2 linked regions of the Astyanax mexicanus genome follow. The protein of the gene in region 1 binds, or shares a complex with, the protein of each later gene. Links are inferred from orthologs where the notes say so. Each region holds a gene or a part of one and is shown on either strand. Other genes may lie near its edges.

What was found.
Region 2: the proteins of prkaa2 (region 1) and prkab1b are in contact, whole or in part, in a crystal structure (PDB 8BIK), measured with the Homo sapiens proteins. The link is inferred for Astyanax mexicanus from reciprocal best matches to the Homo sapiens genes PRKAA2 and PRKAB1. Residues at the interface, in NP_006243.2 of Homo sapiens: Gly9, Val11, Lys12, Ile13, Thr21, Lys29, Lys31, Asn48, Arg49, Arg53, Asp56, Val58, Ile61, Lys62, Ile65, Gln66, Lys69, Val82, Ile83, Ser84, Thr85, Pro86, Thr87, Asp88, Phe89, Phe90, Met134, Met164, Ser165, Asp166; in NP_006244.2 of Homo sapiens: Pro79, Thr80, Val81, Arg83, Thr106, Ser108, Asn111, Val113, Ile115, Gln154, Val155, Asp159, Phe160, Glu161, Val162, Phe163, Ala165, Leu166, Asp169, Ser170, Lys172, Cys173, Pro186, Tyr187, His188, Gln189, Glu190, Pro191, Tyr192, Ala202.

Annotation. Positions count from the first base shown.
Region 1 is NC_064408.1:61,605,409-61,621,759, reverse strand, and holds the start of prkaa2 (5'-AMP-activated protein kinase catalytic subunit alpha-2), read right to left. Parts: upstream 6,750-16,351; 5' UTR 6,587-6,749; coding exon 6,493-6,586; intron 3,413-6,492; coding exon 3,271-3,412; intron 40-3,270; coding exon 1-39. Other genes in the region: plpp3 (phospholipid phosphatase 3), read left to right, coding at 11,041-11,179. UniProt on the Homo sapiens protein: Catalytic subunit of AMP-activated protein kinase (AMPK), an energy sensor protein kinase that plays a key role in regulating cellular energy metabolism.
Region 2 is NC_064419.1:33,186,457-33,202,958, reverse strand, and holds the start of prkab1b (5'-AMP-activated protein kinase subunit beta-1b), read right to left. Parts: upstream 6,791-16,502; 5' UTR 6,662-6,790; intron 4,852-6,661; 5' UTR 4,841-4,851; coding exon 4,706-4,840; intron 3,903-4,705; coding exon 3,751-3,902; intron 2,705-3,750; coding exon 2,611-2,704; intron 2,216-2,610; coding exon 2,101-2,215; intron 2,016-2,100; coding exon 1,882-2,015; intron 1,300-1,881; coding exon 1,231-1,299; intron 91-1,230; coding exon 13-90; 3' UTR 1-12. Other genes in the region: transmembrane protein 233, read right to left, coding at 10,503-10,514, 12,154-12,288. UniProt on the Homo sapiens protein: Non-catalytic subunit of AMP-activated protein kinase (AMPK), an energy sensor protein kinase that plays a key role in regulating cellular energy metabolism.

The sequences.
Region 1 (16,351 bases):
ACCATGAAGAAGTCTGTGGGAGTGCTGATCACCTGGTACCTGTACATTTACAGCAGAAACACTGCTTTAGAATAGTGATGCATATGAGATACAATTAATCCTCCAGCAAAATAGGAGAAATTTATGACAGTGATTACAGTAATTGTTGGTAGAGAATTCTGGATGAAAAGTGAGTGAATCATAGTATTAAACTCTCTCTGACTGAATATTGTAGTATTGTGTGATGTGTCTCAAAGCAATAAATGTTTATTATATTTCTAAGGGTGGCTATAAATTTACAGCATAGATGTAATATAGCTACCAGTCTTGAATTGTAAATTTAAGTATGTATTGTATATTGCTGTAAAAATATTGCTGTATTTTCTTCATTCACAAATGAAAAAAGTGAGAAATAGTTCAGTAGCTAGTAAAAGAAAATCCTTAAAAATATGAGTTGATCAGGAAAGGATCAGAAGTCTACATCAACCAGTGACATCATGGCCCACCTCAGCTCAGGAGAACTCTAATTCAGTGATCTGAAGCAGGGCTAAATAAAAACATCTGAGCACTTTTTTCACAAGAAACGGTTCACATGGCATGAGAAAGAGAGCAAAAGTGTCAAGTAAGGAAGCAAAAATACTTAATTACTTTACTTAAGTAGAAAGTTGATGATCTTTACAAGAGATCATGAGTTTACAAGAATAATTATTTTTCAGACGACTTTTTATTTCTACTCCTTACATTTTCACAAATATCTACTCTTTCTACTTCTTACATTTAAAAAACAGTGTACTATAGGACCCTGTGGGGCAGTCTAAGCTTTTGTCCTTAATGTTTTTTTTTACTTAAATTACTTTTACTTTTATACTTTAAGTAGTTTTGAAACCAGTACTTTTACACTTTTAAGCATGAGTTGATACTTTAACTTCTACAGAAGTATTTTAAACCCTAGTATCTTTACTTCTATTTGAGTAATGAATGTGAATACTTTTGACACCTTTGAAAGAGAGAGTGCATAACCTATTATTTTATTAATAGAGTAATACAGTAGTGTCTCTGTACAATAACAGTACAATGGAAGCAGCGTTAAAATAGCTATTATGCAATTAAATTTGAACCCCATTATAATAGAAAAATGTAGCATACAGTAAAATAACAGTACTAACTCTAGACATCTAATGGTTAATTTCAGATTGCCTCGAGAGCAGCTGTCATCTTTTGGCACAGCTAGAGTAAATGGCATTTGTGGCTGCTTGCCATAAACGCACTGAGAGGTCATGTAGAGTAAAAGGTCAAATCTTGTATATAATGAACATCACTGTCAATGATCTGACAGGAGCCTTTTTTTTACAACATGGCCTGTCCTTTAGTCCATGTAGCGCCCCCACGTTTATTTAGGCGCAGGGCTGACTGTGTGGCATGATCTTTCCTCCAGCTGTGGCGCGTTTGATGTCATTTCCCTCTGAGACGGGGCATGCGTCAGGAGGGTTCCTGCTACAGCTGAGAACATGCCCAATCACTGCGAAGCTTGGCGGGTGCACCCCTATTTTCCCAGTGGGGTAAAAACCCCTCTCCTCAGCAAACTCCGGTTATGCCACATCTTATCCATCACCAGCTTTGTGCTGTTCTGATGGTAGGAGGCAGCTCTTCACAGAGGGAGGGGGATGTGTAGCAAAGCCTCGCTCTGATCTTCCCAGCTCAGCATGTTTGAGAGAGCGGAGAAAAACGAGAGAGTGACTGAAGAGCTGCTGAGACAAATAGGGGAGGAAGTGTGGAAGCTGCTGGGTTAAAGCAGAGGGATAAAGGGCATCCTAAAGCCCAGTCCTCTCATTTGCTCTGACTACAGAGAGAGAGCGAGAGAGAGAAAGAGCAGGCAGCAGACATGAAAGGTAGTCTAAAGAGATTACGTAGCTATTTTATCTCTTTGGCCTGTAGCCTGGACTGGCCTGCGCTGTGTTATTTTCACTTTCTGCCCCACCAGCAGAGACATTTTCAAACTATATAAATAAGGTCATAATATTTTTTATATTAGTTAAACAATATTTAGCTTTGTATTATTTAAAATGAAAGCATGCAACAGCAGCCTTCTACCTATTCTAAAAAAGTAGCCATGACATACTGTAATCATAGAACCTTCTGAACTCTACAGTATGTGTACATTACATTTAGCTAAAATAATCCAGGTACACAGTGTTTTATTAACATAATAATAATAATAATTAAAAGGATTATAAAATCGAACCATAACAACCCATGTCATATGCTTTGGATTATGAACCCTCTCTTTTCTACTCCATTTCCTAATCTTGGGTTCATCTACAGCTGATCTGGCTTTTCCTGTTTGTTACCAGTGGTTCATTCATGATTCATGAAGAAAAATGCTTGACTTTGACAAAGATATGCCTACATATCCACGAGAACACCACCTGACTTGATGTTGTGAAGGGTTTTCTCCTCACCAAAGAAAGAATTCTGTTATTGTCTTGTTTAGCAGTGTTCTGTGGTCTTGTGGAGTTGCTAAGCTTTTTAAGAATGTACAAAATAGTTGATTTGGCCTCTAATGTATCTGAATCTCACAAAAGATTTTGACCACTTGTTACGTCCACTTGAGCATCTAACAAATACAATTTCCAGTTACTTTTAAGTCTGAGGTACTGTTAAAAATAGCAGTGATTAATAAATAGTTAAAACCATCTTTCTGGCAAAGCTCTTGATTTAAAGGTGAATGTTTACAAGATATGATAACAAAATCATATCTTGAAAGTTTTGTTCATTTTAAATTGACTGATGTGGTGTACAATATTTTATATATTGTGTATCTATAAAATATAATTATTTTATTGTCAACATGTCAAAATATTTTAAATTATTAGAGAATCCTTCTTTATGTATAAACTAATTTATCTTAAGGATTTAAACTTGGGGCAAACACAAATGCAGAGTTAATGTATTTTGCCATAGAAAGGTCCAGTTAGTATGTTTTTTCTCATTTCTGTTTAAGTAAATATATTTTATGAAATGTTTACTTTTACTTTACTGTGTTCAAAGTTCCAAACTATTGACTAGCTCGCTTACCTAAAGAGCTTCCAACAAGGGAGCTGAAGTTTCTCAGTGAGCAATAATACAGTGGAATAAGTGAATATGGCTGTGGTTGCAAATGAAATATGTGTCTATTTAATAATGTTCTATTATGGAAAATGGCTAGAGATGCCCATAGAGGGACTTTCTGCACTCTACAGGCTTTCACTATATATTAAGTGCTTGAGAGCATGCAGACTTTTTTCCACTCACAGCTTGATGATGTGTGGATGTCGGAACAGCTTGAGGTTCTGGATCTCTCGTTTGATTTTGCCGACCACATCGAGACTGCGGATCTTCTGCCTGTTCAGAATCTTAACAGCAACTTTGTGTCCTGTAAGCTGGTGCTCTCCAACTGTTAAGCAAAATGAAAACAAACATACCCAAACCAATGAAACCTCAGCTGCAACAAGACCACCAACCGTTTCCTATAACACAGCTGATGAAAGATCAGTGTGAAGCCAAAAAAAAACAAACCAAGTGCCATGACACCCCAGCAGCAGTTTGTTTTATAACACCAGTTACAGTAACAGATTCTCTATACTGTTAACCATTAGAGGCTGCAATATTCACTAGTGATAACAAAAAGCATATTGATATTTATTTGTGAAATAATGAATATAAATATGCTATTTGTCACACTCTTAACACTCTTTGAATTCAGTGGGACATTTAGTTAAAAGTTCCACACATTCAGTACCCAATTATATTGTGCTTCTAAGCAGAGAAAAGATCAGTACAATATAATTTGATAAACTACTGTTAAATGTGCAGTAATTTTGTCATTTAATATCAAAACAAGATGGAAAAAGTCAGATGTGCAGGTGTGAAACACAACATAAAATTGTGTATGTAAGTAATTATGTAATTACAGGTATTGGTATGTAGTATAAACTAACAGCAAAACAGTAATAATGACCTCACACAGTATTTATATCTCATATAATGACAGAAGCTTTGTAAAAGAAAAATACTATGCTCAGGGAAAAAACTGTAATAGTTATAGTTCACCACATAAATGCTAAAAGGATTTACTACCCCTGCCTTTATGCAGTGAAAGTATGTTCAGGCAAAGTGGTGTGCTTTCCTGTAAGCCGTCCTTCGCAACACACGCCCCTCAACTTGTGAACAAATGTGTCCCTGGTTGGACATTTAACTCCAGTGACACCCCAGGCATGCAGAATTGACTGAGTCTACCTCACTGCCTCTGTTACTCTGACACTGTCTGACAGGCAGTCCAATTTCTGGTTTTACGGTATGCCTAAAAATCATCAGTATATATAGAAAATATTAACAAAACAACAGCAACAAGATGCAGGAATACAAGCTTAAAGTGTTTAATAGGTACACAGCATTAGAATTGTGTATTTGTATCAGGCCAATATCAGCAGAAAATGCTGTATCAGATATAACAAACAAAAAGAGCTTCAAAGAGTATCAAAAAGTGTAATATTAGTAATATTAGTTAGTAATAATAGTAATAATATTAGTAATATCATTACTTTGAGATACTTATCTTACATGAATTGATTAAATTAAAAACAGATCATTTTAAAGCTTTGTTGTAATAAATATTGGCTGTGATGCAAAAAAGAACCAATAACATATTGATAAGAAAACATCTAGTTTAACTTTTTGTAGTTATTTAAATTAATGTTTAATGTAATTTAATTATGTTTTCCTGCAAGGCAACAATTTAACCCCTTTTAAATGGGTTGCACAAAAAAAAAGCTTAAAGGCTTTTGATGTCATATTTTTACCCTTCGAGGTAGGGATACACAAGTTTGGCTGAAACTGTCAATATTTTTTTGTTCTATGATATATATTGTGATCTTAAAAAATACAGGAATTTTCATCAGAAGTCACAAGAAGTCAATGATCCAATGTATCACAATGTTAATAATATACTTTGTGACAAAGATTGGAATAAAATAATTTCTTTAGGCAGACATAATCTGCCTCTGTAAGATGTATATTGGGAAAGTTAGGGGGTGTTAGCACTTAATTAAATTTGCCTAATGTGACATTATGCATCCTGCGATGGGACTGTTGTGCATGTGAACATTGTGATTATGCTAAAATGATATCTTGTACAGACCTACTTTGAGGGGATAACTTTACAGTTTAAATCTTTGGTTTTCCTGCACTTGAATGCATGTCACTTTTTCATTACACCATATTTCTGCCTCAGAGCAGAGTTGCTATCGTCTTATTTTGCGGGTCTGTTTCTACAGAAGGAGCTTTTTAATGAAACAAGGTGAGATACTAGCACAATGAAATTACAGAGTTTAACAACAGCTTCAGGTATAAGGGCAGTTAAGAGTACATTTAATTAACAAACAATGGATACAGTACAGGATCCTGTGGGGCACAGTACTGTGTGGTGTCGTTGTTGTGATGCATTGTTAAAGAGCAGGGGAGTGGATGTGTGGAGCTGATTTAGCTCATGGAGCCACTCACACTGTGGCTCAAACTGACCCCAAATTCCTTCACTGCTTCTCAAGGTCATTTAATGGGATGTCCAGCTGGGGGTAATAAAGGGCTGCTTGGTCACCATGCCAGTCCTCCTGCTCTTATCTTACTCTGATCTCATCTCCTTTATTACTGTCTTATTACCAGCACTGAGGGGCTGCTCACACCCTATGAGAATAGCATCAGCATTAAGAGCTGTTAGCTCACGTGCTAATTAACTAACCCTTTAGCATGAAATCAACACACCATTGTCCAGCACACACAGATAGCACCAAATCTACAGTGGACATATTGGACCTATTGTTTTGTCAACATGCCTTTATTTATAAGATTAGGACAGTATAACAGTATTGTTTGTAATGTAAGTTAGGTTTATGGGGAAAAAATAAAAATAAAAAACAACGTAGACAAAATATTACTGACAGATCAAGAAAGAAGCGTTTATTATTAATAATAGTAATATTTTAATACTAATATTACTGCAACTAGCTATTACTACTATTTTGTCTACACTGGTATTGCAGACATAAAGCTATAAAACATGCTACGACATAAACACACAATTTGCCTAATTTTCACAACTGCTGCAAATTACAAGGTATGCATTTATTAGGCAGATAATCCTGTGATAAACGAGCCCATGCATGTACAGTAACAGCGCCCGCAGGCTTTGTTATTTAGTGCAGTGCATTTTTTGCAACCCCCTAAACTTAGCCCCAGAGTAACGCAGCATTAACACTCGTAAAAAGGCTTATTCCCCAACAGCGCTACGCCACTTCTCTGCTCCAGAGCCGTTCAATCCGTAGCGAACTGCGTGAAAACTCGCTGCGTAAACTACGTAAACTCTCCGCCGGCAAGTTCAACGTTATTAACGGTTACGGTAAAAACACACACAGCCGCTATTCCACAACCCGAAGCCCCGCCGCCTCACAGAGCAGCCAGAGCACAGCCCAGACACTTAACTCTTCACTTTGCCGAAGGTGCCCACTCCGAGCGTGTCCCCCAGGATGTAGTGTCCTATCTTCACCCGGCCTTCGTGCTTCTGCTTCTCGGCCATTTTACTCTGCGGGGCAGCAGCTCGCTGCTCGCTTCGGCCGGCGAGAGGAGGGGGGCGGGGCTCCGCCCGGCGCGCGAGCGGCTTCAGGTTCACCCGACCTCAGATCAGCATGACCGGAGAAATGTGCCTCAAATTTAAGACCCCCGACCAAAGCCCACAGATCATAGGTCAGACCCGAGAGAGAGAGAGAGAGAGAGAGAGAGAGAGAGAGAGCGTGGAAAATAGGGGAGGAGCCATGGTGTCAACAACATAACAAGCACGCTACACAGACACCTTCTCACTATAGTCCCTTCAGATAAAAACTGTAAAACTGTTATTTACAACATGAGCGTGCTCTCTTATGCAGGTGAAGCCAAAATATGTATAATTCTCCACGTTCACCTTACATTTTTTACTTTAAACTATACAGGGTCTTCGTTTTTTTGTTACACAGGGAGTCCTCCCTCCTCCCTGCTGGTGAACCCATTGCATTTAAGGGCTTTTAATTCAAATAATCAAACCATTTTTTTGTAAAATACTGAGTAGAAGTTTAATTCATCCCAATTGGCCAAGAAATATAAGGGCCATTCGACCGAATGGATGCCATTTCTGTCCCCAGGGCAGAACTTTGAGGAAAATCATTATAATGTGCTCAGTGTCTTCATGATATTAGCATAGCCACCATTTAGCTATTTTTCATGTTTTTGCTAATTGTATGCTAAAAACTAATCCCTGTTACATAAATAAGTATCAGTAACAGGAGTGATTTCCAGTAACAGTAATAAGTAATATTTTTTTTTGTCATAAATACCCATTATTTGAACATTAAACTCAGTGTCAGACTCTGAATTTTCACATTCTGAAAATATCTTCGTCTGCCTCTAATGTAGTGTTACAGCTGGAGAACCCCCTCTCTCTTCCATGATAAACTGATCAGGACCAAGACTGAACATCTGGTTATACCAGCAAAACCATCTATTCAACACAACTTTACCATAACCATTGACTCACTCTCTCTCTCCCTAAAAAGGTTGCTAAGAACCTGAGTGTTCTGGTTGATGACCAGCTCTCCTTCACACACCATGTGATTGATATAGTGATTCCCACTATTTTTCTGGGGCCTCCTTTAGGCCCTGTTTTTTAACCTTGAACATCTATTACTAATGTAATGTAATGATTACCTGTGGTCTGGAACCATACTGACAGAGCTATATGTTTGTCTGCTTTAAACAAGTGTTTGTAGAGCCAAATGCCATCTGAGTGTGTGACAATGTGGCTAATTTTAGCTACTGCCTACAACCAATGATTTTTATCAGTATTTGTGAACACTAATTGCTTCTTCTGAGGGTTGTTATAGTATACAGCAGAATAAAACTGGGTTTATAATCACTGTACTCATATTGTGGTAGAGACAGCACTGTTAGTAGCCTAAACATCCTGTGAATAGCTTATTTGCTCTAATGATGAATTTTTAGTTAAGGTTGTGTTAACATTTGTGATATATCTAAACATTTCACACCTTCCTTGATGCTGCATTTAAAAAAATGTATGTATTTTAGGAAAGCCTGTGCTAGCTTAGCTTTATCAGCTTCTTCATTTTTCCATGCTGAGATTTTTTTAGGAGACCTTTTGAGGTCTTGTTGAGCCCATGCCTCTCATGATCAGAAATGTTGTGGCGGCGCAAAGAGTACATAATCAGTATCAGGCTTGTTGTATTAATGTTATAGCGGGTCACAGTGAACCGAACCTGGACTTGGAACAAAAAACATCAGACTATCCATTAAAAGGCTGAAACTAAACAAGACGCTTCTACAAGATACAAAATATACTTCAAACCTTTTTGGTGGACTTCCTGAACATACAAAACATTTTAAATGATCAACAACAAACAGCCTTGTGTTGTGTATATTAGTGGACATCTGTGGAGAAGAGTGGAAATGATTTCCAACTACAGCTGGAAGACTTTTAACTTCTACGAAAACTGTGTGATTGTGTAAAAGAGTTTGTATAATATCTGTTGTACCATGCAGAATAAGCGTGTATAGAAGATAAAATGTACTGATGTGTATTATATTTAGTAATGTAACCAAAAAATGAGTGAGTTAATTTGATATAATTTCATAAAAAGCAGTGTCAGTAATATTCCAGTTGTGAACCATTATGACCACTAGATGGAGGAGTAGGATTACTACTGAGAAAACCAGAGGCGAACATTTCAGGCAAAATACCACTGACTAGTTCTGTATAGAGAAACCACAACAGTACTATCTGCTCTTGCCTTTCTCTTCTCCTCCCTCATTTCTATATCGGTGAATGCAACAGCATGTTGGGTTTAATTATTTTATTCACAATGTATTTTAAAATATTTTAAAAACTACTATATCATTCTTATTATGCAGCACAATTAAAAATACTAGTGCGTTAGTATAGATAAGAAAAAGAATGACACAATGCAATGAAGTACAACACTGCTATCTAGTGGTTGAGGCTTAAAAAGTAGGCAAAATGAACCACTGTCTGACTTCAATCTTTACATTTGAACTAATAAATAAATGTCAATACTGAGTTTTTGAATATGAATTTGCAAACAATATATTGCTATACGTTCATATTGATATTTTCTTACAATACATTAAAAATACATGCTGTACAATACAAAAATACATGCTGCATAACTATCACTTACAACAAAGTTTGAATATATTTTAAAATATGATTGTGTGATTTATAAAACATACACACAATGCAGAGAAAGGGTTCACAATAATACTGCAACAGTAAAACAGTACGAACATTCAGAAATGTGTTGTTTTTTGGTCATTTATTGTTTATAAATACCGATTTGCAAAACAAACTATTGCTATATTTTGATATTGATATTTCCTTACACCTCTAATAAAAATACATGCTGCATAACTACCACTTACAAAGTATGAAGAGATTTTTTACATTACATTACATTTGGCAGACGCTTTTGTCCAAAGCGACTTACAATAGTGATGTACATTTAGTAATAGAAGACATAGAAGTTCAAGGCAAAAAAAACAAACAAAAAAAAAACCCATTTAAGACAGGGCCCAAAGGAGGCCAAAGGGAAATAGTGGGATAGAGGAGGGAAAAAGAGGGAGCAGAAAATGAGGTTAGAAGTAGTAAGTGCTCTTTGAAGAGCTCAGTCTTCAGGAGTTTCTTAAAGGTAGCGAGGGACTCTTAATTCTCACACTAAAAGCTGACGGGCTCAGTCAACTCTTGAGAGCTGCTCGCTTTGTTAACTATGAAACAAAAGGACCTTTTGGCCACGCCTTATTGGCTATGATTTAATTAACTCGTTCCCTCGCCTTAATTATCTGGTTCCCACGCCTTAGGATCTCGTTTTCATGCCTTAATAAGGCATGGCCACGCATTATTATTATTTTTTTTTTTTTTTTACATGATGTCACTTTAGGGGCTCCGTAATAAAACATACACACAATGGAAAGGGTTCACAACAATTTATAGCAAAACAGTTTATAAGATCAAGGAATTAAAACATGTATTAAAATTTCATCATCAGAATATGAAGAAAAGTGTGTGTGGAGCTTTGTTAGACGTCGTTAAACTCGGGTATAAAGAATATATTGTTCAGAATAGAAGAGTTCAGCTCTTCGTTTGGCGTCTTTCTTTCTTTCTGTCTCTAACCTTCTCAGTGCTTTATGACCGCCTGTATTCCGTGTAGCCCCGCCCTTCTGCGCAATGATTGGCTAGGCGATTCGAGACTCTGCTCCTGATTGCAGCATTGCAGGAGCTACCAGCCAATCGCAGCGCGGACAGTCAGAAGGACACGCTTCCACTCCACTCAGTCTCAGAGCGAGAGGGCGGGGCCTGCCTGAATACGGGTGGCAGGAGGAGCGCGTGCTGCAGGCTCGGAGCGTAAGGGCTGAGCATAATAATAAGCATGCAGGTGGGTCTGGAGGAAGGGGGCTGAGCCTGCTGAAGCTCTCTCTGCTGCACACGGAGAGAGAGAGAGGGAGAAGGAGGAGGAGGAGGAGGAGGAGGAGACGAGGGAAGGGAGTCTTAAAACTGGAGTTGAAGCTCCTGCGCTTTTTAAAACGCCGCTCTCGCTCTTCTCCCCTCAGAAAGCCCTCCAACACTAGAGAAGTGGACTCAAGTTCTCCTCCACTCACTGACTTACTGACTGAAAACACACACTGACCGGGGGGCTGCTGTCTTCATCCCACAGACCGAGAGACGGTGACCGTGAGGCGGGTTATTATTCACTCTACACACCGGTTCAACGGTTCAACATTCAGCAGGACTTCACTCCTCCTCTGAATATCAACTTTTAAGGACTTTTTCTCCTCAAACGAGCCGGACCTCGCCTCCCATCTTACCTTCTACATTTATCTATCTTTTTATCTGAGTGACTGACTGAGTGAGCAAGCTGAGTTTGTGCTCGTGTGGACTGAGGTTTCTGTACAGCAGGAGGACGGAGCTCTCACATGCCAAAATACATGTATGAGAAGGCGATGGCACCCGAAACAAGAAACGGTGGAACTGCGACGTTAAATAGCAGCACTGGCATGAACAAGAGCAAGAGGAAAATTTTAATAGCTCTAGACATCTTCTGCCTGCTCCTAGGTGAGTCTTTAAACCTGCCTCATTTCCCCTTTTTTCATCACTGTTAATCTAGCTAACCTAGATAGATTTACTATCAACAAAACATTTAAAATATAAAAAAAAGAGAACAAAAACAGCTTTAGCCATTCATCAACAAGTCTTACTCTAATTCTACTGTTTTGTGACATGGTGTTAGCCTTACACTCTCAGAAAAATGGTACAAAACTGCTAAACTGTTTGCTAGTTACTCATGTATACAGTGCATGTAATGTTAACTAGACAGTTAACTAACCCTCTATGACATTAATAATATTTTGAGAGAGAAAAAAACTTTTTTCAGACCCTTTTATTTATTGAAATGAAAAAGAAAAAAAGAAACATGTTTTCGTAAGCTTCCAACAAGAAGAATGTAAAAACGTATAAACATTTTTTATTTATTTATGTCTCATTGTATTGGACGTAGATATGCCTTGTAAAATTATATTTAAAATAAAATAATTAAATAAATAAGTAAATACATACATAAACAATAATTTATGCTATGGTATAGAATGGTGTAATAACAAATAAATAATGATGGTTTGTTGCCTCATGCCATAAAGGGTTAAGAAACATAGCTAGGTTAAGTTATTGAGTTGCACTTGTTTTTCCCTATTTTTAAGGGACGTATATGGACCTAAAATATCTTTCTGTACTTTTGACAGCACATTTAAACAGTTTTAATCAGTTTTTATCAGTACAGTACCCTTTTTCTGACAGTGTCCTCCGTGAACCGACTGCAAACAAAGCAATAAGGATATTTTAATCTCTCACTCAAGCTTAATTTCCCCCAAAATGCAAATCCTCCAAGCTCTCCCATTTATTACCCTTGTTTAATTCAGCCTGTTTTACATCCTTATCTTTTTAAACAGAAGTAAAGTACCGTTAAACCCTCTTATCTCACAGGAATAGGGATGGGCACAGATGGCACCACTATTTAAACAGTATTGTCCCATTGACTTATTAAAGTGGGTGTGAAAGGGCATGTGCGCATATATCCAGCCTTCATAATACCATCTCTCATTTACATGCGCCGCGACCGTTGAACTGTCACACTGTTCAGTCTTTGTTTACAACTTTTACATGAGCAGCTTCCCAGAGTGTGAGGGGCTGTATTAGACAGGGTGCTTTGCTGGTCAATGCCAAACTTTAATAAAACAAAATAAAGTAAAGAAACTACAGCTAATATGTTATTAGTGGAGGAAACGTGTTAGTGTTCTCAAACTGTTTTTAAAGGATCTAAATGAGTGAACCTCAATCAGAATTGGATCACATTTAGTGGCTGCTTCTCTTGTTGTGTTGACATCTTTGGTATGACCTAGGACTGGACAAAAATTCAGTCAGTATAGGTCACGATGGATTGATAGTAGAATGATTTATAAACCATTAATTATTTTTTATCTAAGTTTCATTGCAAGCCTACATAAATCTATTATGTGAGTCTTTGTCAGTTTTTCTGTGTCTTTTATATAGGTCGTTTTAATTAAATGACTATAACAAATTATCCACAATTAAATATTCTACCTATTATATATTGTGATATCAATTTTGTGAATATTGCATCTTACACAACTTGCATGTGCTACATAGAAGTGAATGGATTAGAGTGGTTGGACCTTAAGCTTTAGAGTAAAGTCCAAAAATCTTCTAAGCCTTGCCTGAATGTAAAATGTCACTTGTGTTGGTAGACTCAGGGATGCTCAGGAATGTATAGTACAGGTGAAATGTGCGTGAAGTTGTTAGCTGTTGATGGCTCGACTTTGTTAAAATCTTTTTGAGTTTTGAGTGTCTGGAAACCATCACAGTGAGCTTTCCTATAGCCAGTGAGTGCTCAGTGCCTGAGGGATTAGCAGAGCATCAGCCCAACGTTTTGCATTCTTCCAAGAGCCCCTCTCCTCAAATCCCCCTTTCACCAGATGGCTCATCTCCTTTCAGAGCATACCACAGCATCATATCAACTTTCTCTCTGAGCCGAGAGGCAGGTTGAGTGCCCCTCTGTCCTTTTGTTTGAGGGAATGTGGAGAAGAATTGCTAAAACGTGTGGTTGTAGAGAAGCAGGGTGAAGTTCTTTGGGAGAACTAAGGAGACTCACCCATAAAAGTGCTGCTAAGCTTTCAACAGGCAACTGCCATAGGAATCAAACTTCAACTCAAGCAGAAAGGCTGGACAGCAGGTGGTAGACAGAAGAATTTCTGCAGTAGTGCATGATATATTTGAACAGTTTGGGCTGTGTTTTTTTGGGTTAATGTAAAGTTTAATAAAATATTCGCAGAAGGTTGCAAAACTTTCCCAGTCTCAAACCTTTCAACCAGTCAGTTTATTTTGCAATATGGAAAAAAAGGGTGACAATGTAGACATCCAGTTTTACAGTGTTGCTTTACAAGGGGGTTTCAAACACACCAAAACAAGTCCTGCTCTCACATGTGGTCCAAATACACATGGAATTGCGTAAAACTGCATATGGAGCGAATCTCCTGCTTTAAACCGACTTCCTTCCCAATTTAAGAGATGGGACTGGCGACGACTGCGCGCATTAAAAGCGGGGCACAAACAAGACATGTTCTTTGTGATGTTAAAGAAAGGGCGGTTGCCCTGCTTTATGTAGTGGGGGTGCTGTGAAAGAGAGGAGACTCTTTTAGATGGGGATTTGGGGAGGGGGCCTGTAAGGTTGTGGGCCACTTGAAGAATGTCTGATTGAATGGGCTTTGTTCACATGGATGCTATGGGAATAGTTCATGCAAGGGCTGGATACTCAGAGAGGGTTCCATCTGTTGTATGGGTGTCCTGCTTTTTATCTTATTTTTAGTGTGGTTTAAGTTGGCCAGGGGAGCTTTTATTTTGTCGTTTAGATTGATTTGATATCTCATTTTAATGTTTTAAAGAGAAAATAAGGGTTTGTGAAGAAAAAATATTAAGTTTTACAAGATTATCCTCATCCCAAAAGTAGTTGGGAAGCCTACAGGTCCTCAGTTAATGTTCTTCAAGCTTCAAGCTTTATTGAACTGATTATACTCAGTTCAAGATGTTATGTAATCTCAAAAAGGCCTGCCTATGTGGTTTATGACACATGAAACAAATAAAACAAATACTACATTTACATGACGTTTTGTGGTGTAGAGAAATACTCAGACATCGTGATTGTCCAAGCTGATTGACTGCATTTGAAGTAAAGAGACTTCTAGATAATTTAAGTACCAGTCTCCACTGGTACTTAAATGCCCCAGGTCCTCTTTACTTTCCTCACAGCATCACACAGGAAAACACATTCACTCTTATCACTGCAGCTGATGGCAGAGTGATGCTGTCTTCTATCAGCAGTGCGAATGTGAATCGTCAGACAGTCTGAAGCTGTCTGAAGGGCCTTGCCTCCCGTTGAGATCCTCCAGAGGGAGTGAAGAACAGCCTGATCTATTAGCATACAGTAGTGCAGTAAAGCAGTGGAGGGCCTTCCCTGGCCGTTCACTCTACCCACCCCTTTCCCAGGGGGGCAATGAAGGGAGGGGGGTGTCAGTGATGACATACATTCCTGCCCATACCACTGCGTAAGCCACTAGACAGTGTTTTACACCCCTTCCTACCCCAAATCCCTCTTTTTTGGTGGTGAAGCTGGTTACTAATATTTTACTCAGAAGAGCTACGTGGTCAACTTGTTGGCAGTCCAATTTTTTATGAAGTATTAGAATGCAATCCATGCTATCATCAGCCCACAGAACTTCTCCAGCAAGAGTGATTTGATAAAGCTTGCAAATACAGATGGAATCTGGATATTCATATCCAAAGAATAGATTTCTATAAGTTTGCACATCATTATTATCATCAAGTGTTTGTTGGACCTGGCTCAGGTTTGAATGTCTCATTGGGTAAAGGTTGGATAAGTTTGGTCATATATTGCATTTGATTGGAAGTTGATTGGAGTTGGATCTACTATTTTATCTGACACCAGTAAAGAAAGAGTGGTCAGAATGTAGTCTTGAATGCAATGGATTTGGTTGGGCGACAGTCAAGGCTTTGATTGAATTTGATCAGGCTACTGTTATAATCACCATTTCATGTTATTTCTGAGTTTGATTCAAAATTTCAGGCCAAGTTCAAGCTCTGTGCCCCCTTCGTGCCGCCATGTCTTCCTCTGGGATGTTTATTATGGAGAGTCATGCTTGATGGGAGGAAATGGTGTTCTAAATACAGGCCCTCACCTAAGCTCCATTGTGCTCCATGTCTTTCTTTAAGCACACAATGGTGCTGGGCTACCATTCAAGGCTGGGCAGAGCATGAGCGCGCTCTGTGCATTTTAACACAGTCTGTCGGAACAAAACACGTTGCGCCTTCACCCTAACGACTTTCAGCCCAGTTGGCTGCAAAGAAGTACAGAAACACCAACTGAAAAAAACTGTTTGCTTGTTTATGTGTGGAAATGGAAGCGATAAGTGTCTCTTGGCGGTCACTGGTGGCTTCAAGAGTGCCCTGAGTTAAAACAACAAGAGAACCACTCTGCACTTTTTTTTTCCTTTGAGGGCCTACCTGGGCTAGAGCATGATCAAAGCCAAGGAAAAGGGTTTGGCTGGCTTGATTCTGCCCATTTATAACTTCTCTCTCATCTGTGGCATTCCACAAGGGGTAGGCGGGCAGAGTTATAGTGTGTTGGGGAACCCGTGGGAGACTGCCTCATTTAGGGCTGGCTGTATTAACCTCTAGTTTCAGACTGGGCCACGTCTATAAATATTTTCCAGAATTTCTCAAATTCTTCGTCCCAGGTCAGCTCTTGATGTGACATCTGGTATAATTTTCGAGCCAGGGTGTATGCAAGGCCAGACTCAGGAAAGGGTGGGAAGAGGAAAAGGTAGTCTTGTGCTCTCTCTCTTTCTCTCTCTCTCTCTCTCTCTCTCTCTCTCTCTCTCTTACACTCTCCCTCCTTTTCTTTCACTCGATGCCCTAGGTGTGGCCAGCTGTGCTGTGAAACGTAATCCCCCTCTTTTTCTGGACCATTTCCTCCAGCGCAAAACCTGTCTCTTTCTCTGGCATTCTTCTTCTCTCTCTACATCTCTCTCCCTTTTCTTTTTCTCTCTTCTTTTTTTGACCTGCTTGTAATTGCAGGATACCCTCTGAAGTGTGGTGTTTAGGAAAACCCTCCTGGTCCAGGTTTTCATGCAGGCAGTG
Region 2 (16,502 bases), on another chromosome or scaffold:
CCAGCTGATTGCTCATATGGGTTTATACAGCAGTGTAGTCACGTACTTCTTCTTGTAGCGGTGAGTGGCGCTGAGGACCATAACACCATCCTGTGAGGAAAATGAGAAACAGTTTAATTCTATACATTAAAATACAGCTCTTGAAAAATTAAGAGACCACTTCAGTTTCTGAATCAGTTTCTCTGATTTTGCTATTTATAGGTTTATGTTTGAGTAAAGTAAACATTGTTGTTTTATTCTATAAACTCCAGACAACATTTTACCCAAATTCCAAATAAAAATGTTATTTAGAGCATTTATTTGCAGAAAATGAGAAATGGCTGAAATAACAAAAAAGATGCAGAACTTTCAGAACTCAAATAATGCAAAAAAGCAAGTTCAAACTGTAAAGTTTTAAGAGTTTAGAAGTCATTATTTGAAACATCTGAGGGAGGCAAACAAACTTGCTATAATACTTTATAATACACATAGTGTTTTTTGTTTTCTAAAGTTTGTTGGTTGATAAATTAGATTTAATAAATACACCAGAACAACAGCAGGTCTATGAGCATATTGATTTAATGAATGAAATGTATATAAAATGTAAAAATGTAAACGACAGCAAAACCAAACTTTAGTTATAACTTAAAATGAAAATTGTTGGCTGAAACAGAGACTGAACAAAACTAAACATTTGGCCAAAAACTGAACACGGAACATGGTTTGCAGGTTTTCATTCATTTTAAATAAAAAGCAAATACAAAACTAGAATAAAAAATATATTTTAAACAATAATCATTAACTTTCCACCAGCCATACCTAAAAATGCAATATTGTTATATATATATATTATCTTTTCAATTATTTGGTTGAACACCAAAATATTTTTTGAGCCATTTTTGGATGAATAGTTTTGCTTGCTGAATAATTTTGAATATTCTGTGCTTCCTAGTAAAATGATGAATGATAATATGAATAATAAATTAAGATAAAGATGGAATCAGCTGTGTTACAGTGCAGTTCCTGCAGTTAATGTAAAGCCTGTTATGGTTTGAAGGTTCTTTTTAATTGTTCTAAAATGTTTTTGATGATCCATTCATTGTTTCAGAAGTCCTAATCAAATATATACGCAAAACAGATAAAAATGATTATTGATAATTATGGACAATATTTTTATTTGGGAGAAATGTTATCCGTAGTTTAAAGAATAAAACAACAATATATGTATGTATGGATTATGATGAGCTGTACCTTGATAGAGAGAGCGTACAGGTGGTTCAGCATTACATGGTTGGGTTCGGGAAGCAGAGCTGGATCACACTGTTCATAACAACAAACACAAAACACAGAGGTTTAAAATTCTACTATATATATATATATTATATAACACACAGCTAACATCATATCATTTTAGGAAAGATCTGTTAAAGTAACAGACTATACTTTTTTTTACTCCAAAAGCCCAACAGGCATACCCTCACATCCCCATACTCATATCACCTAAACCAATCACCTTCCATCTCTCTACACCCATACCATCCATCACCAACTGTACTCTTCCTTATCTTTACAATACCTATACCATCTATACCTAACCCCATACCCATAGCATCTATAGCAAACCCTATAACATCCACACCCATTTCATATATAACCAACTATACCCTTCCTTATCTTTACAATAACAATACCATCTATACCTAACCCCATACCCATTCCATCTATAGCAAAGCCTATAACGCCTCAATCCACAACCGCCTCATCGATATCAGCACCTAGTCCATCCATACTCATCACTTTACATATACCATCTACATCAATAGTTATACCATGCATAATCAATCATTACGCATCCCATCTGTTTCTGCAGCAAAGTATTAAGGAACCCAAAGTGTTACTCACAGAGACACCGGTGTCTTTATTGAGCAGCACCTGCAGCAGGTGAGGCGGGAGAATAGGAGGAGAACGCAGTCGATCTTCAGATTTAGTGCTGTAGGGCTCCTGATGGTACGGTCCAGGAGGAGAACCGGACATGTCTGAAATCGAGAACAGGTAAGACATCACCTCAGGAGAATCTCTCTAATCTCGGACTGCATTAACACAAAGAGTTTGAGCTCTTACCTGACATGTCAGCACATTTCTCTGAATCTGTCTTCAGGGCATCGAAAACCTCAAAGTCTGTCTTCTTCACCTGGATGATGTTATTTACTGTACCAGATTTGCTGGTCACTACAGGCTGAGAAAAATGAAACCAATTAGTGATGAAGTGAAATAAATATTTACAGCCAAAAACATTGAAAACTTTTTTTTTTTTTAATCAGAGCACGAACATAACAAAAAATTAAATCCCAGTTAACTGTTGTTTTAATGCAACATATGAAATTGCAAAAGCTTTGCGGTTATATTTATTTTAAAACATTACATCTTTTTACAGTGTTTTCATAAATTATATTAACAGTTGGAAGAAAACTTTATTTTTAAATACAGAAAATATTTTAAAGCCTAACATTTAGATGCATCCTTATTATTGTTATTATTATTATTTTCGTTAAAAACATATTACAACCCAAGAGATAAGTAAAGTGATGCTATTAGTACTCATGGACACATGTTATGGACACATGGTGGTACCTGCTTTGGATCCAGTGTCCAGTTTCCATCCACATAGAACTTGTACTGGTGCTCACCCTCAGGCAGATCAACTACCGCCACAAAGTTACTGTGACTAATTGTGAAACAGAAAGGAATTAAAGCGTTACTGTTATGTTACACCATCACAGCACCACCATCTCAAAAATATCATAATTACAATTCACTAAATTTACCAGGTAATATGTAGTTTTCCTAGTTGACTGTAAACAAAATGCTTCTTCTAACTGTAACCCCACAGTGACCTCTAGTGGTTCATATGTAAAATGCACAATCTCTGTGTGATCAGAATCAATGATTAAAAGCAAAGAAACTTATTAACTCTTTGAACTCTAAGGAAAGATATTTTCTTCCATATTCCAATTCCTCTCTCATAACTGCAGAGATTTACATAGCAGTTTATATAGTTGTAGATATTTATAGTAAATAAATTAACTGAATAACTTGTTTGATACTGCTAGTTTAATATGGGCTAGTGAATAATGCATTGTGGATACTACATCATTCTTAGCACATACTGAAAAATTCATAGTAGATTCTGAATGATTAATACTGAACAATGAATATTTCAAAGTAGATTCTGAATAAATCATATTGGACAATGAATACTTCATACTAAATACCTCTGTATTCATTGCTGTAATCTTCATTTGGGACACAGACTAATTCACAGTAGACTCTAAATAAATCTGAAAATATACTGTAAAACGTTTATCAGATTTCAAGTGATACACAGTGGATATTGATTGATAATTTATTGTGGTTATAATGATTTCCAGATGTTAAAAAAATAATACCAGATGCTGTACAATGCTTGGTATATGCTGAATAATTCATAGTAGAGACTAAAAATATATATGTAACGGAATACATTGAATTATTTATAGTAGATACTTTGATAAGTCAGAAATTATTTATCCCTATTTTGCATAATAATAAAGCTTATCAAAGTTCTCTATTTGATCTGTATTTAGAATTTAGCTAAATTTAAAATTGTTACTGTCCACTTTTTCCATTGTCTGTCCTTCTTTAAAGACTGGAATACTAGAATTACTGGAATACTTGTCAAGACATTTAGGAAAATACATGATTGTTGATAAAGTGACTAGTTATCAGGCTGACCTCTTGGACAGGGGGATTTTATTGGCCCAGTTGTTGAAGGATCCCGACACATAGACGTCCTTAGCTGGGCCTGTCCACCTAAACACAGTGGGTCTCTCTTCAGGTGGGGCTTTAGAGTCTGACTCCAGATCACGCTGCCAGGCCAGAAACTCCTGAAAAGAATGAAAAAGTGAATATCTGCTAGCATTGTTCCACTTAGTGTCCACTTCATGAACCCAACCGATCACAGTGGTCTGCTTTGCGGGTACAGACTACAGCCTACCTACTGTTGCAGCATTTATCAGCCCACTCTACCCCCTTAAAAAACAGAAAAAGACCCTCATAGAACCATCATTGGCCATGGTGGCCAGTCTCAGGCCAATTTATCAGAAACTCCTCTCTTGTTGCTCCACCCTGCTGGTGTTGAGCTACAAATTTACATATCATACAACAGATGGGCATGACCTTTATTATCAATATTGTCTATTGTGTTAATTAAGCTAGGAGAGCATATTCACTTTAGTGAGCCAGTATGTAAATTTGTCTAAAAACAATATTTTTATTTATAATATAATATAATAAAGGTATTTAAACATGTTACATTTCTGAAATGAAATATCTGAATATTCTTAGTAAATTAAAGTTCATTGCTTTTTAAATGTAATGTGTAACTGCATTATTTTGGAACATAATCAGTGACTATAATATGACAAAAAATATTTTTTATGGCAATTGCTTCTGAAACAATATATTATCCTAATGAATTGAGTAATTGTGAAAGGTCTAGTGATACATTCCTTCTAGCCCTTCATTAGGGATCAGCTCTTGTCCAGGTATGTTTAGGTGGTGGACCATTGTTAACATATCAGTGAACCGGAGTTTGTGTAAGGTATAGCAATATGACTGTGTCTGACATTTCAGTGTTACTGCTACCATTGTAATCAACATGTTATACACCTATATAGCAAAAACTGACCTTGGCATCATCTGCTTGAAAGATATCTCCATCTTCAGTGCTGTCCATCAGTATTTTGGGTCGAGCTCCATCTTTAGCTCCACGGCTCTCCCGCCGCTGGGCATTAGCACTCCTCTCACTGCTGGCGTTACCCATGACCACAAGACCTGCATGCAATTGGTGAACCTGTAAAAATGGCCACTGTCCTTTGCACAGCTTTATCAGACATCTCCTACTGTTTATCTATCTATCTGAGACCTGCATTGTCTCTTCTTACAAAGTAATACCTCCACCCACAGCAAATATGCAACAGAAGTACCACTGGATACTACACGGTAAGTACATGCAGTTGTACACTAAATTTTGGACAGTTTCTAAGTGTAAACAAGTTATTAAATGCTCTAATCTTACCTCAATTAGCGTTGTGTACTGGCAAGAACTTGGCAATGCGATACGCATCACAGTACAGGGTTATATTTCAACGCATCATGCAATATACTGCAAAACTGCAAGCAAGGCGATATATTGTGTCATAGTATAAAATACAATTATTATAAAATTATTATTATGCTTGTTTTATTCCCATTACATATGGCATGTTAAGTGTCTTGACCATATAATATGTTTTTATCAGTAATTAATAAGGTGATGTGGGGGATGTGACGCATTTAAACTTAGAAAATACAGTACAGAGTAGTCAAATGTTTGGACACACTACTTCTCATTCAATGTGTTTTCTTGCTTTTCGTGATGTGAAACAAAACAGAATATGTTTTTATTCTTTAGATGCTTGAGGGAGTTCCTGGAGCTCCTGCTCATCCCATATCACCCATCTTAGTTGGGTTTAGGTCAGGGGATAGTGGATGCCAAATGTAGGAGGCCTTTTTTTGTTTATTACATAATTCCATATGCGTCCCTGACCTGTTTTTATGTCTTTAATATTAATCTACAATGCAAAAAACAAAACAAAAAAAAAAACAAAAAACATTGAATTAGAAAATGTGTGTCCAAATATTATACATGGTACTGTATATTGTGATCTTTTAAGAGAGTTATGTATGCATGTTATTTCAGTGGTTAAGGCTGACCAGCATAACCAGCAGGGCCCCTTCTCAGTATATTGACACTGACTTGTGGTGAATGTAATACAGGTAGGACACAACAGTCTCAGACCACTTTATCAGAAACTCCTCTCGTGTATTGCCTATTGGTGGTGACTAAGCTGGTAGACCAGCATGACCACAAAAATGTTATTTATTTATAAAGTCAGGAAAAATGGGATTGGGAAAATACAAAAACAAGTTAAACGAGGAACATATGAAATCCTGAGCAAGGAAATTTATGTACCGTAAAGATATAAAAAATAAAGTCAATAAGGTCACTTTGACCTATATTATAGCCCACAGGGTTTAGAAAAAACCTGTAGAAACTCAGTGCAGTGACTGAGAGTGAGCTGACTCACTGATCTGAACTTTGACCAGACTGTAAGTTACTCCGTGCTGTGATTCACCTCAAACCCACACAGAACAGAGCCAGGACCTTCTCTAACCTTCAGCACAGAGAGAGAGAGAGAGAGAGAGAGAGAGAGAGAGAGAGAGAGAGAGAGAGAAACAGAGAGAGAGAAACAGAGAGAGAGAAACAGAGAGAAAACAGAAAAGGAGAAAAAGAACAGAAAGAGAGGAAATAACAGTAACAGTAAGAGAGAGAACAGAAAAAAGGAAGAACAAAAAAAGAGAGAGGACAGAAAGAAAGAGAGAGTAAGTCAGAGAGAGAGAGAGAGAGAGAGAGAGAGAGGGAGATTTAACCCCTCCTGCTCGAAAAAAACGGAAGTTACGGAGGAGAACAGAGGCTATTAAGAAGCTAAATTTCAGTGTGTCTGAGTGGAACTGACTCTAAAACACTTCTACAGATACACACACGTTGTGTGTGAGAGTGTGTGTGTGAGTGTGTGTGTGTTGTGGGAGGTTTAACTCTTACCCAGTCTCTCTCTCTTTCCGCTCCTGCCTGTTTCTTTCACTTCGCCATGTTTCTCCTCCCACACGAGCACGCTCCTCTTCCGGTGTTTGTGTGCGCGCGCGCGCGTGTCCCTTGTCCTGCTGAACCACGTGTTTACAGTGCTCCCTTCCTACGGTGCTTTAACTGGGTTGTTTAAGTAGTTCTTCAAATTCAAACAAAACCCATGCATAGATCAGCCATAACATTAAAACCACCAGTGTAGTATTGTGATTATTTTGTAGGCCCCCCTCAGGCAGCGAATCAGTAGCACCTAACCTGTTCTTTTTCGATCACTGTTGACTATCAGGTCATGTTAAATCATAAATAAGAAAAACATGACTAAGCTTGTTGACCAAAATGATCATCATCCTGACCATGCTGGTTGACCAACCTTACCAAACATGTTAGCCAGTATGGCCCAACCTGTTAATCAGCATGCCACCCTGCTAAAAAAAAAAAACAGCTCAAGACCAGCTGGTCATCAAGTAAAAACATAGGCTATCCTAAGCTAGTTAACGAGCTAGCCAATAATCAAAGGGTATTTCTTTCTGGATGACCAGCTGGTCTTGATCTGGATTTTTTAGTAGGGCAGTCTGGCCACTGTCCATCAGTGTGGCTAGTGTGACTATGCTTTTTGACCACTATGACCATTAGGGCATGTTGATTTATCCATAAGACAGGCTTTACCAAACTGGTCAACCATGCATGACTAAGCTTATTGACCAAAATTACCATTATCACAGCCATTCTGGTTGACCAGTGTGACCAGCCTCGACAATATTGGTCCTCTTATATCACCAACTTTACCAAACATGCTAAACAACATAACCAAGTTTTCTTAAATGGTTAATCAGCCGTGCCAACCTAGTGAACTAATCATAACCAAGCTAGTTGACCAGTATGAACATCCAGGTTATGTTGACCACCAGTGTGACCAGCTTTAGCAAACTACTGAACTAGTATGACCAAACTAATTAATCTGCATTACCCACCTGCTGGTCAACCAATATGACAGAGTGTGTTGACTAATCTGAACCAGCTGGTTGGCCAGCATGACCAGCCTGGCCATGTTATTCCACCAGTATGTACTAAACTACTGTTGTAAACAATAACTTGTTGACAAACTTATTGACCAGATTAGCTAGCTTCACCAAACTGGTCAACCAGCTTTGTCAAACTAGTCAACCAACAACCATCCAGTGTGGCCATGTTGTCCTATGTTCACCAGTATGACCAACTTTACAGAACTAGTCAACCAATATGACCAGGCCTGTTGACCACTCTGACCAGCTTTAGCAATCTAGTCAACAAATATGACCAGTTTAACCATTAAATATCAGCTTAGACCATTTGAACCCAGCTACCAGTAGATGGAAGTCTTGAGGTCAAATTTCATCAGGAGTTTTTGTTGTTTTTATCTTAGCTGTATTATTATCTGACTGTAGTTGACCTTATAGTTATGCTTACTGGTCTTTGCCAGTCAGGTGTGTGAGGTGTGTTAGGTGTGTGTGAGGTGTGTTTGTGTGTGCAGGCTCTGTTTCTGAAGGCATTCTCACGGCTATCTGCTTTCACTGCCTCTCTGCAGGAAACGCTACACTGTGGGAAACAGACCTTGACCACTCAACAGCAATACAGGGCCTAATTCATGCCTATTTGACAAGAAAGAGACAGTGTTTAGTGTGTGTTGTGATGAGTTTAACCCTAATAATGTGCTAAACACACAGCTGAACAGTGAGGTGAGTGCACACAGCTCAGATGAACCACTATGTAATCTGTTGGTAGCGTCTGGAGGATGTGAAGCACATGAATGTAGGTTTTGTGTTGAGTTGCTGAAATCCTTAGCACTGCTCTCTCTGCCAGGTCTGGAGAATACCACAGCTATATTTAGTCCTCACTGGTTATAATATTACATATCAGAATACAAGATCCAACGCAGTCTGCAGATTACACAGGGTGAGGAGGAGGAGGAGAAGACAGGGAGGGAGAGAGAGACTATAGGTGTATTAGTCAGTGGAAAAAGAGCTTCAACACTGTCCGTGTTTTTTATGACTGTACCGAGCAGAATCACGGTTATAAACATTAACCTACATAGTTTACTTTTAATACAATTTTATTCACATCTGTTACATGTTAAAAAAAATCACAGACACACACATAGGCATCATTTCTGTACATACATATGATCTGCTATCAGTGTTTTTATCAAAAAAAGAGTTGAATTACTGTATCCCTCATGGTTAAACAGGAGATTTCACAAATAAAATCCAAAAATGGTTGTTGGAGCTCATTTTTAACATACGTTAACTTGTGTAGAAGCTGCACATTTTGAATATACATTAAGAAAATGTGATAAGTAATTGCAGGTGTTACATGAACACAAGTGCTTTAAGACTCTGTAACGTTTCTTCAAACCATGTGAACTTAAATTCTAAGTTATTTTGTGTATTAAGTAAACTTTTCACATATTTTATTTACAACATTGTTTGCTGTTAAACCTTGTTTATTTTTTTGTTATTAGACCTAGATTTATTTTACCTTAGGGTTTATTATTCAGAAAATACAATGAATTATTCAGTATATACCATGCATTATTCTTTATCTAACATCAGTTGTTCAGTATCCTCTATGTATTATTTGGTATCCTATATATCTATGAAATATTTTGTATCTACTATTAATTTTCAAGGATCTAGTTTTATTATTCATTAGCTACTATGAATTGTTCCGTGTCTACTGTAAATTCGTTCATATCCACTATTTATTATTCCAATCTGTAATTTGTGTATTTTAAAAGGTAAGGGAAGTAAGTGCTTACATACACGCCTTTAGAGCTTAAGGGAGTAAAAAGTTTGCTTAATGCCTAAGAAAAAAGTTTTGGACACCTAGCTTTTACAGTCTAAATTCTACATTTTCCTTGCAATACATTTTGTATGACCATTTTCCAACATTTCTTCATCTCTTAGGATAGTTATATGTAAATAAGCTCTGATATATTTTCTAATTAGCTGCCCCCTATTGTACTTCAGTCAGCATTGTTTTTCTGACAATGCTGAATCATACAAAACTGTGTATTATATACTGGCTGTTTTAGCAGTTTAGTTTCTGTAAATGGATTGTATGAAGTGTGGAGTGAATACATAACACTTTAACAATTAAACATTTGAAACATAAACAATTTTTATACACTACATCAAACTTGGCATTTCAGCTTTCCATGCTATGGGCCCTTTAAAATAAACAATCCTGTTTTTTTAGTTGGATTTTCAATAACTTAACTAAGAGAGACAAAATATTTTAAATATTTCAAAAAGAAATCTGTCAAATCATTACTTTGGCAGGACATGCTTATCATACCAAGATCAATTAACCCATAGAATTAGCAAACATCTGCTTTATGACCACTAAACATTTTTTTTTTCACCTTTTTGAAGGTTAAAGCAACATATCAGCATTATAAATCTAAGCAAGGTGCACCAAAACATTTCACAGGTAGTGTCAACTGTACATTAACTGTAATTGAAATATGTAGTGCACTAGACTAGTAAACACAGGCTAAGTTAGATAATTAAGACACATAAAACAGATTATTTCGCTTCTCCAGTTGCTCCTCTGTCGCATAATTTACATTCATAAGAGCATAAGACTTCGTAAAATTAAAAAAGAAAGAATGCCAATTTAGCCATGACTGCTGTAGTGTGCTAGCCCGCGGTGTGTCCTTAGCATTAGCATGATGGAGGGCAGCGCTGTCCATCTTCCTGCTGTCAGTCCACCAAAGCACATGGACATGGAGATAAATAATCCTTTTAAAGCTTCTCGTTAGCCATCAGTTTGGATTCTGACACAAAAACAGTAAGATTACAGATGTGTTAGCAATCATATGTGTCTAAAGATTAGCTTAGTCTAAACATTCAGTGTTGCAACAGTTCATAGCATTTAAACAAAAGTATAAATAAACACACAAAAAAATTATGTTGCTGCTACTGTAAAAGTCGATCAGCCGGGATTTGCTCTTTATTTCCATAAATGTCCATTTGTAGTGATCTATTTTTTTGATGGGCGTCCCTTTTTTTTTCATTTCTGAAAGGTGGCGACCCTACATTTTTGCCTGTCTGTTAAGGTCTTTTTTCTATAAATTTCCCCAACGAAGATAATTAGCACTTGTTTTTTTTCTTCCCGTAAGTCCATATCAGATGACACTTTGCGCTGTTAGCTATGTTTCACTGTGATCCTGTGAACCCCTATTCAGGGTGTTTTTATTTACTTATGTTGTCACCTGTCCAGATTTCACTTGGATTTTCCTTTTTAAATAATGATTCATCTATAAATGTCTCTGTTGTCTGTAGGTAAGTTTATTTAATGTACTGTGTCTATTAAACAGACTAAATCAATTTTCTCTGTATCCTCTTGCATATTTTTCACGGTGACAATCAAAGCTGTTTTCATTGGTACTGCAGGGTCATGTGACTTGACTACCACACCAGCACCTGCCAGCTACTACAGGCAGAACTAGATAGGTAGTGAATCTGTAGCTGTCATGGTGAAATGGAGGTAAGATTCTGTCTACTTGGTCTGTCAAGCCAGTCAAAAAGAAAAAGAAATGTTCAACTCATTTTAACAATGACTGAATGCAAAATAAAAATTATGCTGCATGGCTAAAGTAAACCCTATCAAAATATTCAATACTATGTACAACCCTGCTTCACCAAGTCCCCTCTGTTTCTTATGGCAGACATCCCAAGTCTCATGGAAGTTCGCATATGAATAATGGCTCCCTGTTTCCCGTAAGTCAGATAAAATCTCCCAGAATCTAGAATGAGTGGCTCAAAAGTGAACACAAACGTGCAGTTTGTAATAGTATTTTTAACATTGCCCACGTAATGATTGCAAAGGGCATATTGAGGTGAGTTAATGTGACACATATATATATATATATATATATATATATATATATATATATATATTAAAAAAATGGTTCATCAGTTGTTATAGTATGACAGTCTCCAGGTTTTTTGTCAGACATAGATGGCAACCCTATGTAGGACCCTCTGTTTTTTTATAATCACACAGCATTAGCACTCTTGCTGTTAGCTGTGTTAATGTAGCGGTGTGTTTTTTTACACCGCTAAAACTGTGCAAAACTGTAAAAGAACAAAGCTAATTTGTTGGTTGCCTCAGGCTTAAGTTAGTGTTAGTTTATAGCACAATAAAGGCTGACTTTTACAGACTAGTTTAACAAAGCAACCCACAAAAACACCATATGCTAGTGTGGTTAATGTCTCCATTATAAGAGGAAACCTGATGTTTCCTTTTACATCTGAAAAGCTAGAAGAGATTAATCATTTCCTTTTGGTTACTGACACAGGTCTAGTTAGAGCTGGGTGTAGGTAGAATAATGCCTAACCACAGCAATACATAGAAAACCCCTATGCATATATAACATTTAAATTTTACAGGAGTGTGTGTGGTGTGCATACCGTGGTGAAGTGTACGATGCTGAAGACCGTGATGATGAGTAGGCCAATGATTAAAGATGCAATGCCCATGTGCAGGGCCTTCCTCCCCAGTCGTTGAGAACCGTCGTAATCCTCGTTATCGTAACTGCTCTGAGACTAACAGGACAGGAGGACACAAGACAAGAATATACGATTAAACGCTGCCCTTGGGACAGTTAGACTTGATTAGGATCAGAGAGTAGAGTAGACAGCCAATTCTGAAATCCTGAATCATCGGAAAACATGTGTTTCCAAAAAATTTATATATTCTGGTTTGTGGTATTTATTCCTATATGTAAATTTAGTGCCCACTACAAGTGATAGGGGAAATCATATGAATGTGGTTTAGAAATTATGTAGAAATAAATCATATACTAGATCAATGTAATTTGTCATATGTGTTTTATAGTATGATGTCGTGCATGAGCAGATGTTCCCAGGCGTAGGTGGTGACTGGTGAAGGGACTTTACAAGATACAGAAGTCCCCTGGAGCCTCCTCGTCCCGCTAGCAGCTCCAGGCCCCTCTTAGCGAGGATCACATGAGTTGCCGCGCCTCATAAAACTGGACAGACATAGTGATGATGCCGGCCTGCTTTTAGCTCTGCAGGACGCAGCAGGCTGGGTCTGGTGATGTGGGGCAGTAAACACACCAGGCCAACACCCAAACCTCTCTGATTCAGGCTAATGGAATCGGGGCCAGTTTCCTAGAGCCAGATTAGGCCTGTCTAATCTTGGACTAAAAGGCAGTGCCAAAGATGAATCATTGCGGGAAATGTCTTTTACGCTAAGCTTAGGCTTAATCCATGTTGAGGAAAGCAGTTGTTTTGAGTATTAGTTCAAATCAAAGAGGAACTTAGCCTGGTTTGGGACTGACCTGTGGTGAACCTGTATGGGAATTTCTTTTACTTTAGGCTTTAGGCCCAAACATTGTGGGAAATGCCTTTTACACTAAGCTTAGGCTTAATTCATGTTCAGAAAACAAGCACAGCCAAATCAAAGCATTGCATTTTATGTTGCATTTTTCTATAAAACATTTTTTTAATGTGCTTTAAATTGTGTAAAAATTTAATAATGGACCAAGAGAAATGTTACAACATTTTTTTTTCAATTTAAATATAATCTAAACTTGATTATATATCAAGTTTATGCTAATGTATCAAATTGAACATAAAAACATAAAATGTAACAACATTTGTACATGTTTAAAATTGTCATACCTGACATACTGTTAAAATACAATGTTAATTTATATTAGTAGTATATTAGTAATAAAGTATATTAGTAAAGTTAATTATTACATAAATGTATTAACTGTCATTAATTTATTTATAATCGATGAGTAAGAGGCGGGTGGGACTTTTTTTTTTAGCTGCTTCAGCGTAAATGCCCACGAGTGTCATATCTGAATTTTTACCCCACCCTCGGGTTCTTGTCTCCAGGATGATTCGGATGTTTCTGTGTGTGCGTGCTTGTGTGTGTGTGGGCAGACAGTGTGAGAGGGACTCTCAGTGGGCTGGTGTGATTTGAGCAGAGCAGCTGCCGCGCACTCTTAGTAAAGCACAGTCAACCTGAAACCGTTGCAAACCTGTGCACTAACTCACACACACCAGCACACACCCAAACATACTCAGACCACACGCAGACCTGGAGCACACCCTGCAGTAACGGTGGTTTTGGCACTGGAAATATTCCGTAAATATTTATTATAATTTCACTGATTGAATGGCAAAGACATTATTTTGAATTATGAGTCTGTGTATTAATGTATACATTTAATACACTGCCTGGCCCAAAAAACACACACACACCTTTAGCTTTGATTATGGTGCACATTCGCTGTGGCATTGTTTCAATAAACTTCTGTAATATGACAAGATTTATTTTAATCCAGTGTTGCATTAATTTTTCACCAAAATATTGCAGCATTAATGATGGTAAAGTCTGACTGCTGCACATAGCCTTCTCCATCCAGCACATCCCAAAGATTCTCAATGAGGTTAGAGTCCGGACTCTGTGGTGAACAATCCATGTGTGAAAATGATGATCTCATGCTCCCTGAATCACTTTTTCACAATTCCAGCAGCATGAATCCTGACATTGTTGGCTTGGAATATGTTTTAAGCCATCAGGGAAGAAAAAAACATTGATGGAATAACTGGTCTATGTTCAGTATATTCAGGTAGTCAGCTGACCTCAGCTTACATTGTTTACATTGGTTTAAATGTTTACATTGTTTTCTAGTTTATTAGTATCATGCTAATATATATTTATACATGTTTATGGATAGTGATGTTTCATACAGGTTCAGAAACATCACAAGCAAGTATATTAGAGATTAATAAACACATCCACAGTGCGTAATGATTTTAACATGCAGTTAGCACGATGCTAATTCTCAGATGCTGAAAATGTCTACTTTGAGCTACATTAGCCTCATAGCTAATGCAAACAGTCGTCTTGGTTAATTGACTGCATTTTACTATAGCACAGAACTGCTTACTTAGGGTAGATTTTAGCAGACTTTTTTTTTTACTGATAGCCACAATAGGAGACTATGCTAACATGTATGCTAACACATTTTTAATCAAGGACACTTTTTTGCTGACTCATTGCTTAGATTTTATTCTTAACACGTATTATTATGTAACTGCAATGACATTATACTGCTTCCTAAATGAAGCTTAATCTCTCAACTTAAATAAAGTGACACTGAAATAAATTCACACTTTAGTACAGAGTTGTTTCAGTTTAGTCTGCCTAACCAAAGGCTCATAGCAGGTGATAACAGATAATGTGCGTGAGGTTTAGAAAGGTGTTTACAGGCAAAGCGCAAAACTTGGGTTGAGGTTAAAGTGTGAAAAGTCAAACCACTGCAAGAAAACTTTCTCAAGCTTCAGATGAGCAGTAAAACATCATACACCTGGCACTGGAGAACTGACACTCAGGCAAGTTTATTGTGACTTTTTAATGTTAGCCCTGTTGCTAATGTGTTTCTGTTGCAGCAAACCAAAACTAGTTATCCACAGTTAGCTTTATCTTTTTAATCCAGACTGATTAAGATTCAGATGAAGAACTCGACTAGCAGGTGGTACCTAATTTTTTTTTAGATAAAATCTGAATTCAGGACTCACTGAGCATGTGTAAAATCACACATATGTTCAGCATGGTGAGGTTTGTTTAGCAAAACCGCTATCTCCACTGACCTTCTTGGTGTTTAGCTGCAGACCTGTGAGAAAATGTGAATATGGTGTGTATAGGTGAGTGAGTGTGCACTCTTACACACTTCTTGCGGGCTGCAGATACTTGAGGCTTGTCTATTTATACCACTTATGAGTGGGTCTAAATTATGAGCATGAGGCTTTGGTCAGATTTCACAATCTTGAGGGCTGGGGAGGGAGCTTGCATGAGAACATTTCTCAGATAAATGTGTGAATAAAGAAGCCACCACCACAGCTTTCAGAGAAATAGAAGACTAACGCGAAATGCATTGAACTGATCTGATCTGAGGGCAGATTTAAAGTATGTGTTAGTTGTTTATTTTCAAGAATACCAATTTTTATTAAATATACGCCAATGGAAATTAATCATTGTATAAACTTGTTTGGCTATAACAATTCCATTCAAAGAAATGGAAAAGACTCATCACCATCATATTAAAACTTTGGTTTCAGATTTGTTTTGTCTTGGTAAAGCTAGCACTTCAGAAATGAGAGGATTTGATATGGAATTATATACAGTCTTAAAAGTTTGTGAATCCAGCTCTAGTCAAATTACGTTTGTTTATTTTTATATAAATATATTAATAGTAAGTCATAATAAGCTACATGAACACAGTTCTGCTATTTTTAATTACTGTTTATTACTGAATTTACTGAATATTTCTAATGTGGCATTTGCATAAGTATCATATAAAGGCATCTTTATACTGTTAGATTTTTCCTAATATATAGAAAATGGCACATTTAAGTTTGTAGAGAATTTGTTCATTTAAATCTGACCACATTGCACAAACCTTGGCACAATAATAATTACTACATTACTATTACTAATAATTACTACATTTACTAATAATTTTACTACATTATTGACCTAAATCAGTAATGTTCACACAACATAGAAGGCAGCTGTTTTTTTCTAGTTACACAAAATAATAAATGTACAAAGTTTGATTCCGAGAGCAGTGACCAACTACACCATGAAACATCATCGTAATATCAGTTTGCAAGTCAACCACCCACCTTTTTTATGTTATTGATTGTAGATAAACTTATAGAGTGAGTTACCGAGTAAAAACAGACTGTATGCCAAGGTTTCAACCAGTACAAACTAG